Linked DNA regions of Drosophila melanogaster. The protein of the gene in region 1 interacts with the protein of each later gene in a pairwise test. Each region holds a gene or a part of one and is shown on either strand. Other genes may lie near its edges. The genes, in order: Mzt1, Grip91 and Grip128.

The links.
Region 2: the proteins of Mzt1 (region 1) and Grip91 interact in a two-hybrid assay, tested with the Drosophila melanogaster proteins (one study listed by BioGRID).
Region 3: the proteins of Mzt1 (region 1) and Grip128 interact in a two-hybrid assay, tested with the Drosophila melanogaster proteins (one study listed by BioGRID).

The regions. Positions count from the first base shown.
Region 1 is NT_037436.4:2,387,437-2,390,298, reverse strand, and holds Mzt1 (mitotic spindle organizing protein 1), read right to left. Parts: upstream 1,035-2,862; 5' UTR 964-1,034; coding exon 715-963; 3' UTR 649-714; downstream 1-648. Other genes in the region: CG32298 (uncharacterized protein), read left to right, coding at 1-25; CG32299 (uncharacterized protein), read left to right, coding at 114-398, 459-578; Svil (supervillin), read right to left, coding at 1,518-1,532.
Region 2 is NC_004354.4:13,743,082-13,746,842, forward strand, and holds the start of Grip91 (Gamma-tubulin ring protein 91), read right to left. Parts: upstream 1,603-3,761; 5' UTR 1,318-1,602; coding exon 1,203-1,317; intron 654-1,202; coding exon 1-653. Other genes in the region: Pdcd4 (programmed cell death 4), read right to left, coding at 3,695-3,761.
Region 3 is NC_004354.4:15,470,200-15,473,960, forward strand, and holds the start of Grip128 (Grip128), read right to left. Parts: upstream 1,921-3,761; 5' UTR 1,841-1,920; coding exon 1,721-1,840; intron 1,666-1,720; coding exon 1,177-1,665; intron 1,068-1,176; coding exon 450-1,067; intron 390-449; coding exon 1-389. Other genes in the region: Alg14 (ALG14, UDP-N-acetylglucosaminyltransferase subunit), read left to right, coding at 2,044-2,619; mh (maternal haploid), read right to left, coding at 2,695-3,761.

The DNA.
Region 1 (2,862 bases):
AGCTGACATCGGAGACTCCTCTTAGTTCAGGTAAGCCTTGATATATGTTTCTGTCCAAACTTTACACACACACACAATACACAACTTTCGGTCGAAAATTAAACCTTTCCAAGATGGGCATCCAAAATTATTACGGCAATCTGAAGGAGAAGTTCTCGACGAGGCTTAAGCGAAAGGAGGAGGAACCAGCCAAGGCAATAGCCCACCCACCTCGGATGCATAATCTTGGCGAGGAGATACGTTTACTGGTGCATTCGCAATCCTTTGAAAAGGCCTACAGTACTGCAGCACCATTTCTTTTCGCCAGTTTGGGGGCGTGGCCGGGCTATTGGCTGTTCAGAGGAATGGATTACCATGTTCATCGATCGCACATTCCATTGCCCATCTATATAAGACAGGTGAGTCGTTTGTTGCTTCGGTTTGCTATAAGCTTTTATCTAAACACATTATCATCTTAGACCTACTATCAAGCCAAAGTGGTGCAACTTTTCATTATCATGGCCGGCACATATACCGTTTTCAGAAACGCCAGTCGCTTGCGTTTGATGAATGCAAATAGAGTGGCGAAGTCTTCTTGAAAGCCTTCAAAAATCATGCAATTGGATGTCCAAGAACCAGCGTCTTACAAATTTCGGAAACAGACCATCGGAAAGTTGAACTTTTAATTTAACAAACACAAAATATAAACACAAAAATATATTTTATATTCATTTCCTACAAAGTTGAGTCTGTTGATGCAGCCGATTCTCCGGAATCATCACTTTCCTTATCTTCATCATCTTGAATCTCCTCTCTAATGGTTCGAATTACATGTGCTAGTGCTCCACCACAGACACCATTGTCCACCAGTTCGATGCAGATTTTAAGGGCTTCCTTGCTGAGACCAGAGTCCACTACATCCGATAAGGTTTGCAGGATAGTGAAGCGATCGTCGGATTTATGTTGTGTCGGTTGTTCTGACATACTTATTCCACAAATTTTGATATAAACTCGGAATAAATCTCTAAATAATTTAGGGCAATGCTGACAGATAACTCAAAAGCAATCGATTGAATGTATATCATTTACAAATGATTAATGGTTATGTCAAAATATTTGAGTTCCCTTCATAATCTCAGGCCTGCACATTTGTTCTGCTAACCCGAACCCCGATGCCTAACCGTAATCCATTACCAGCTGTAAATCGTAACACCGTTTCAAGTTCAAAGTTCAGTAATGAGGCACCTGCTCCAGTGAACCCCCCCCCATTTGCTCGACATCCGATCTGCCCGCTGCCAAGTGGAAAGATAAATTAGCTACAAATTAAACAAATTATATACGCCAGAGATGCGTGCCTCTCACAGTCATTTCAAACGGAGGGGAGAATTGTAAATGCTGAAAATCTCAGCTGGCGGACAATTAAAAAACGCTTAAATGAAGATCTTTTTCAGTCGGCAAGTGCAGTGCCGCCAGCATGTGATAAGTAAGAGCAAACACTTAATCGTGAGAGGGGGATCCATTGTATCGCTTGGCCTCACCTGTATGAGATACATTTTCCGCTTTTTTTTTCGACGCTCCACGCAACGAATGCTAATTATGCAGCATCTGATGTTGTGATGATGAAGTGGTTACTGTCTTGCTCTACTTGGAATGCAGCCTCACTTTGTATATATGTTTTATGGGTCTGGTGCAATTGCGATCAATTGGAAACCGAAAAGAAGACAATCTCGGGATTTTTTCACTTAATGAAAATCAATTGAAAAACGTTTTCGCTGCGAAAATGTAGAACTTCACTTGGTAGCGAAGCAATTTGCAGCTTTAACTGAGGCGTTCAAACTAAAACAGTTGGCCGTGTCTTATTGTACAGTTTTATATAGTCGGGCTATATAAACGCAATTAGTCAGCAGCACGTAAACACAAACTTAATGCTTGTCTTGTGGTAGTTATTATTCGACCGATCGAAGGGGGTAGTACATAAACTTTTCAGAGGGTGTTTCCCAGCTTAACACACTTTGCTTGCTATGGCAATAGGTTTGCAAATGCCTTTACAAGGTGTTCACACCGCACAAAATCGATCAAACAAATAATTTCAAACACGATTGGCCAGCTCAATGTATGGGAACTTGAGCGGTCTATTGGTATTTCGAGGTTTCTCTTCGCTGTTTGTTTATACTTTATTTATTTACACAAATATGTACAGTTCGTGGATTTAGGTTTAGTGCGTGGTTTAGTGCATATTTTAGTGTATTTATCATTTGAATATTATTTTAAATTATTATTCGTTAACGCGTTTGAATGACCATCGTGTCTGTGAGTTGAGCGCGAACTGAATTGAAATTCCGCTGGGCTGTAGCTGCAAAGCAGCTTGTGGATTGTATCTTATGGATTCCATGCAACCTCATCATGAGGTTCGCTTCGAACATGTTTGGAAATATCTTTGATAACCAACGGATCAAACAGGTTGCGGACGATTGGGAATGTTCGAATATGTTCCCAAGATTCCCCGGGGCTGCACTTGAAATCGCTTCGACATTTCTTGATGTCACAACTTCGGAATTTGGATTATTCTGGGGATGGAGGCGCCCACTAGGAATTTAGTTAATTTGTTGATTATTCCGAGCACCATGGATGGGGCAGAAATTGGGCTTAATGAATGCTAAATGGTTTTAATGGGTGAAAAGACTAAGGGATGAATAGCATGGGGCGAACATACGTGAGTTGGTCATGGGATAGAAGTGGATCATTCGTACTTTTATGATAGTAAATAAAACTAAATATATAGTGTCAGGCACCCTTTGGAAAACCAAGATTGGCTAGCCAAACCTAAAACCTCATAACTATTCATCTCTCCACACCCAGGCGCATATCTCAGCTTGTGGAACG
Region 2 (3,761 bases), on another chromosome or scaffold:
ACGGCCCGTTACCACATCCTTCTTCAAATACTTCCCTTGAACGCCGGTGAAGGAGTAAATGGCACTCATCACTATATCATGTCGAGACTCGGGCAACATCTTTGTTGCATCCAGGTAGTTGGGCAAGGACTGTTTTCTCAATCCGATGCTGGACTGTGTGGCATCATAACTGTGGCTTGCTGCTGCTCCTGTTACCGCTGCTGCTCCTGTTACCGCTGCTGCTCCTGTTACCGCTGCTGCTCCTGTTACCGCTGCTGCTCCTACTCCATTTCCGTTGACCACTCCCATCTCATTCAGACTGGCTATGGAGGAACTTATTGAGTTAAGACGACTGACCAGAATCTGAGTGAGATTATCGCACTGAGTACGTGGATCTTCGCTGGCAACTGCCTTTTCGGCATCCGAATTGTCGGTCATCGTAAGTAGATGGGTCATTAGCGAGTGCCTCATGTGCGGATCGCACTTGGTCAACGTGAGTTTCCTGTACAGCTCATTGAAGTGATCCGACACAGTTTTGCCCTCCTCCTTCTTATTCCGGGCGCTCAGCAGTTTCATTATCTTCTGGACACATTCGCGCTCAGTCAACATATTTGAGTCCCGAATGACCCGACTATTGGCGGCAATCATTTTGCTTAAATGATCCATTGCTTTTTCTGCAAAAGATTGAACAAAGTGCATTAAAACAAGGGCAATGAAGCCTACAATTATGTATAGTGTCTAGTGTATGTGTTGCATTACGTATCCTTAGATTCATTGATTTGGAAATTGTACGTATTGAGGACCTTGAGGATCTAAGAAACTTGCTCATACTTTTATAGTTAAGTATATGTGATCAATAGTCATTTAAAAACAATTCAAAACTATCTACTTTCGGATAAATATCTTTGAATACTTTGAATTGTTTGTGGGATATATACATTAATTTTGAACATTTACGACTATGCAACACACTTTGGCAATGGTTATTGCTACATTTAATCTAGAACTATAAAAATATAAGTATATGTATTGTTAGTTGCATATCTCAAGGACTCTCTGTTTGAAAATGCCATGAAATATGTTGAGTTTCTGGGATTAACTATAATCCTGAAGCACGTGGTCGATTCCCAAGGGTGGAGGCCTTCTTCCCGGAATGCCAGAGCAGTCCGTATGCCTTGCGTGCCTGGACAGCCAGTGAGTGATTGCACATTCCCAAATCTCACCGTGAACTTCGGGCATCTGCTTGCCCTTGATGCAGATGATCATCTCGTTAATGATATTCGATATATCAGTGGAATTGGTTGCCACATCGATGCCGGCGATCCTGTCCTGCGACATCCTGGTGCACTGAATTGTTCATAAATATCCAATCAAGCGCGCGTTAAACAGCCGATTTTGGATGGCTTGGTAATTGCGAAGTGGACAACAACTGTTGGCCAATGGCAAACGCACAGCTGTTCCCTGGCTATAATACGGCGTGCAGTCACTGGCAATTGTTCGGGATGCGTGAAATCTTCGACAGATAGGACAAAAACGCATCCAATTGGCGCGTACTTCATACAAATAATTTATTAAAATTATTTAGTGCAGTGTTACCGAATCTGGGAAACTTGACAAGGCAAAGTCCTAGCCGCTGGCGGGCACACACTGGCCGAAGGTGCAGCGATCTGGCAGCGCTCGTCTGCAATAGGCTATGCCATTTTGATTATCGTTCTACATTTTACTATAAAAATGTATTTCTGTCGGAATGTTACTGAATGTAGCATTTTTGTATAACAGTTATGTTTAGAAGTGCAGCTTTCAGCTTTTATGTTAATTCCATTGCAAACATCTGACAGCTCTGGGGCCGCAAACGTTTCCAACTCTCACTCGCCTGGTCACACTGTCCGTTTTGCATTTGCAATTGCTTGTAAGCAAAAATGGTAAACTTTAAAATTGTTAATATTTAATATAAAGGCTGAAGACATAGATGAGACTGACCAACTGCGTTTCGCCATGGAGCACACCAACGGCTGTAATTGGCTACAAGTCGTGTTTGATACCTACTGCTGGGGGAGTTAAAGCTTAAGGTGCTGCAAGGATGTCTTGGAATTCCAATGGACAAGGACTTTCCTTCGTCGCAATGGGCCATCAGCAGCTGGATGCGGTGGAGCAGTACCTGGAGCAGCCAACCCAACTACCTAGCAATATGTGGGCTAATCCTGAGCCCCAGAAATCAAGCTGGAACCACCGAGTGAACCGGTGACCAAGAAGGATTCTTCGCCACCAGATTTGAACGCGAAATAATATGTGAAATAATATATAATGTATATAATGTGTATTGAAACAGAAACCTCCGGTATTTAATTTAGAACATAGTTAAACTCTCATCCGGTTTACCTTACTCACTTCTATACGTAATTGCATTTAATATCCGGAGATTTCTGTAACGAAAAAAAAGCAAAATAAATGTTGGCCCGATCCTAAATTATTTCCAACTAAATAAACGAATTTGCCCATTGAAAACGCATTAAAATATGTTTTTAATTTTTATTTTTGATGTATATTTTCTGCTTTTAACACATTAGTTTATATATATATATATGTAGATATATATATTAAATATATATAGATGTGTGGGCGCGCATTTTTAAGAATATGTCGAATTTTGTTTCTTCATGAAGTGTGAACATTTTAAAATATAAGTGCGGCGAAAACAAAGTCTTTTTCTTATCATATAAAATGCAGCTTTTATTCAATCAAAAAAAAAAAAAAGCAAGCAGAATAAGATGAATCCGTGGGTAAATATACGTATAAAGTAAAATTAAGCTTAATTATGTTAGTCTTCTGACACACAAAGTTACAAAAAAATTAAGGAAAATCATGTTTTCGATGCGCATAGGAATATTATAAATGTTTTTCTCAATTTCAAGTCAATGGAATTTGTTTTGTGTAATCATCAGAGTTTTGATTGCGTTGATAGCATAAATCATCATCATTGGTTCGTTCCAAATACAAGTTATTCAATCAATTCAATCAACCCAAGAGGTGTGTGTGAGTGTGTGTGTACGAGTGCCTATAACAGTTTCATGTAAATAATATGCTTTGATTTCATGTGGCATAATGACGGTCGTGCTAAGTACGCCCACTCGCATCCTTTATGTGAGATCCTAGCCACAAAAAGCGACCCATCTCTGTTCCTGTTGCTCCTGCTCGTGGTTCCCCGCATACTTTTGGCTGGATTCTTCTTTCTTTTTCTTTTTTTTGTGATCGTTTCACTCATATCTCCTTTTTTAACAAATATTTAAAATATACTTTCGAATTACGCTGGTAGTTACATGTAGGTAAGATATACGTTGTAGGTGTTTATGTAGTATAATAATGAATATAGTTTAAACGGAGATCAAATTCCGATTGATTGTTTGTTTTTTTGTGGTTTTTTTTTTTTGCTTGTTTTTGTTTTTCGTTTGTGTCCTTATCTGGATTCTGAGGATAAGTTCTTTTTATCAAGTTTGCGACAAATTCTTCATATCGTCTTTTGTTTCTTATAAATGGTGTATTTATTCTTTGCGTTCGTATGAATTTTCGTTTTTTTTTTTTGTAATTTGGTGTTTTTTTTTTTGTTTTTGTTTAATGTTTGCTTCTCTCTTGTTGCTCCTCTAGTTGTCATTGGGTGGCTGGGGGCAGTGGTCATATAAGCATGTGCAGCATATAACGTCCCCGTTGTCCCTATGATTTAATCACGCATGGTGAAGGTAGTCGGCTTCACGTGGCCGCCGTCGCCCTCCGAAACGAAACGCTTG
Region 3 (3,761 bases), on another chromosome or scaffold:
AGCTTCTGGTGCGGCACCTGCAGCAAGGTGTGCTTATACAGTCTGGATAGCAAGTAGGCACTGCGTATGTGCGCAGGTCCCTTATCCAGGATGACATCTTCGGCCAGCTCTCGCAGTAAGCGCAGCTGGCTAAAATGTTCCCTGAACTCAATCGTAAAACGGATCAGTGTATTTTTCGCTGGATCCTTATTGACACGATCCTCGTAAGCGATGAGGAGCTGGCAAATGGGCTGGACAAGATCTCTCAGGCCGTATGCAAAGAACTCCACGGTGTATGTTGTCTTTACGCCATGAAAATGCAACGTATGAGTATCGATGATGTGACGCAGTTCCATCATGTCCTCCAGCGCAGGCACCACATCAAATAACAGAAAATTTTGCATTGTGCTCTACAAAAAAAAAAGCCGGACTAAAGATAGAGTTACACATTAACGATTCGACTTTCTTACCGCAGTCACCGTACAAATACTGACATTGTCACGCACAGTAATGCGTCGCGTGGCCTTGTCGAATTCAAAGAAACAACAGCTCGCTGGACGCACAAACATGAAGAGGATCTCCCTTAGCAGACAGGGCTCCGTGATGGTTTTCGGCACTGGCAGGGCCAACAAGCCTCGGGCATTGTGATTCAGAAACTGCACGTAGCTGACGGCAAAGTTGTCCAGTGGCTTAGCACTGGAGGGCAGGGCGTTTAAATGGACATCTTGGCACCACCAGTGGGAATGGATTTTACGGAAGAGCGTATCTGTGTTGCCACTTTGCCAATATTGGGTGAATGGTCGGGGCGGTTGGGGTGGCGGCAACTGGAGCAGCTTGCTTCGTCTCAGATGGCTGCCCTTTAAGTTGTTGAGGCTTAGAACAGTTGGTTTCATTATCCGAAAGTCGTAACTCCGGATCACGCTCTGCTCGGGCGGCATATACGTTTTGTTAACACTTCCAGTCGGAACGACTGCCATCATGGCCTGCTCGTACACCCTGGCCATTTCCAAGAGGCTTCGCGAGACGCCAATATTTTCATCGGGCTTCAGAGTAGTTGTCGAGTCGCAGTCCGACTCCTCCGACCAGTCCTTTTGGAAAGAAGGTAAAGGTATTAGTATGCTGCAAATGATTTTATGGAAAGAACAGGCTACATATGTGTAGCAGATGACATATGTTTGGGGTTCTCTAGATGCTCACACTTAAGCTGTCCGAGCTGTCATCCTCTGGCGGATCCAGAAAATCCTCGGACAGCAGCGCTGCCCAGTCCACCTCCGTTTCGGAGGTATTCTTGGCTGCCTCCAGTTTCGCCTGTTCCTCTATCTGTGCCTGTCGCTCGGCTTCCTCCATGCTATTAATTATGGACAGACGGCGCTGTTCCATGAACTCGCGGTTCAGCCGGATCTTTTGCACCGGCCTATCGGCTATGCGAAACAGCAATTCGAGCATTTGCCATCCGGGGTTAGGATTGAATTGCTGTTGATTTTCGTCCATAGCCAAATACCTGATGGCCAAGTCCTTGATGCTCTCACCAAAAGACGCCATGCCCTCCGCCCGAAAACGCTCTGCCAGATCGTCCAGGTTGCGTTTCACCTCCATGTCCGTCGTTGTAGGAGCCCATGTCCTGCGTTGGTTGGCGATTATCTTCAATGCCGTATCCTCCATCTGGCGCAACTTTTTCTGGCTCGTCTGCGTTTTAAGTTGGTTAAATTGGAATAGGGATAACATCTGTTTTAAAACATACCCCCGGTTCCGACAGGCTCCTGACCAGTTTTCGCACGTTCTCGTTTATGGCGGAGTTGACTGCCGTCGAGGTCTTGCCGGAGCGCTTCCGTAGGTTACCCTTCTGGGCGGGAGGAGCCATTTCGCTCCGCTTTCTGATTGAGATCCAATAAATTCTATAAATGGCGCCCTCAGCAATGACAACAACGTAAATGGTACACCGGCATAATTATCGGTTCAGTTATCGATAGCAATGGAAACAGCTGTTCGTGGATGATCGACAATCGACTTGAAACGTAAACAATTGTAAATGTTGTCATTTAAATTGAGTTTTCGAAGGGCAATATGACGACCAGCTCGCCTCACCCCACCTACGTAATACTGGGCTCTGGCGGCCACACGGCGGAGATGTGCCGGCTGACCCAGGCGCTGCTGCAACAGACAGACATCGAACAGACGGAGAAGTACCAGCCAATTAGACTGATCCTGGCCAACAGTGACTCTACCTCCGAGCGCCAGTTCAGGCAGGTCCTGCCGCAGGCTGCCCAGAGGGCGGAATTCGTGAAGGTGCCGCGCAGCCGCGACGTGGGCCAATCCTGGCTAAGCAGCATCTTCACCAGCCTGTGGGCGCTTCTCTGGAGCTGCTATCTGGTCTGGCGTGATCGCCCCCAACTGATCCTCTGCAATGGACCCGGCACCTGTGTGCCCTTCTGCTATGCCGCCTATCTGTGGCGCCTCCTCGGACGCCTGCCCTCGCACTCCAGAATAGTGTTCGTGGAGAGCTTCTGCCGCGTGGAGACGCTGTCGCTGAGCGGACGCCTGCTCCTTCCGCTGGCGGACCTCTTTGTGGTCCACTGGCCGGCGTTGGCCACGCGCTATTTGGATAAAAAGAATGTGCGATATTTTGGGCGAATCCTGTAACATGTTTTTAATAACATTAAAGTTAACATTAGTTTCTATTTAACGAATTATGTTTTGTATGAGATGTTTTTTGTCCTAGCGCTTCTTGCGACCAGCGCAGACGGATCCATGGACCTTCAGGTGTAGAGGCATGATCTCCAGGCCACATCTGGGGCAGCCTACGGTCTCTTTGAAGAGGTTGCGCTGGCGGCGCTGACGCGGAGTAAGTTCGTCCTCGCTAGACGGCAGAGTAGACGAGTCGGTAGAGGAGCTCAGGTTGAGCTTGTCGATCTCCCCTTCTGTGTAACCGGAGCTGCGAAGAATTCCTTTTGATGACTTTGCTTTCGATTTAGCGCGGCGTGATGTGGAAGCTCCCGACGAGTCCTTTGAGGTTAAGGAAGCAGTTGTTCGGCGGTTTTTAGGCTTAAACGATGGCGGTTCCAAGCGCACCATAATGGCGCAGCCATCGAAGTGATTGGACAACTCAGTGCGCCTCATTTTCTCAAAGCAAATGGGACAAGATACGATGTCGTTCTCAATTCTTTTGGCGTAGCTTGAGCAACTGGGCTGCACGTCGTTCTCACGCTGGAACTCCTTCAGCAGGGTGTCCTCTCCAAAAATATCATCTATAATGGATTGGTCAGCTAGCTCCGTGGCGGCTGTTAAAGATTCATTTGCGGCCACCTCATCGTCGTATTCATCATCAATTAAGAGGATATCGTCCTCACACAAGGTCAACTCATCCTCCATTACCTGGCGCTTGATGATCTGCGTGCGCTCCTGACTGGTCATGGTTTTTCTGCCAGCTGGCATCTTCATCTCCTCTTCATCACTAGAGCTTTCGACCAAGTTGACGATGGGCGTATGAACATCCCTGACCATTACGTCATCATCGTAGGACTCCCAGTTGATTATCTCGCTGTCGCTGGAAACACGACGCCTCTTTTTCTTATTCTGTCGCTTGTTGGAAGCATCTTCGCTAAAACGCTGAAGTCGAATTTGACGAAGTTTAGCGGAATCGGGAACATCAGTGTCACTAAGATCTATGTGTTCTATAGCGCTAGAGCCACCAAGACTGTAGCCCTGTCCGCTCATTTCAGTGGTGGCTTTCGAACCTGATTTGTCCAGTTCATTGAATCCGCCGCTTTTGTTGCCTTTTGTGC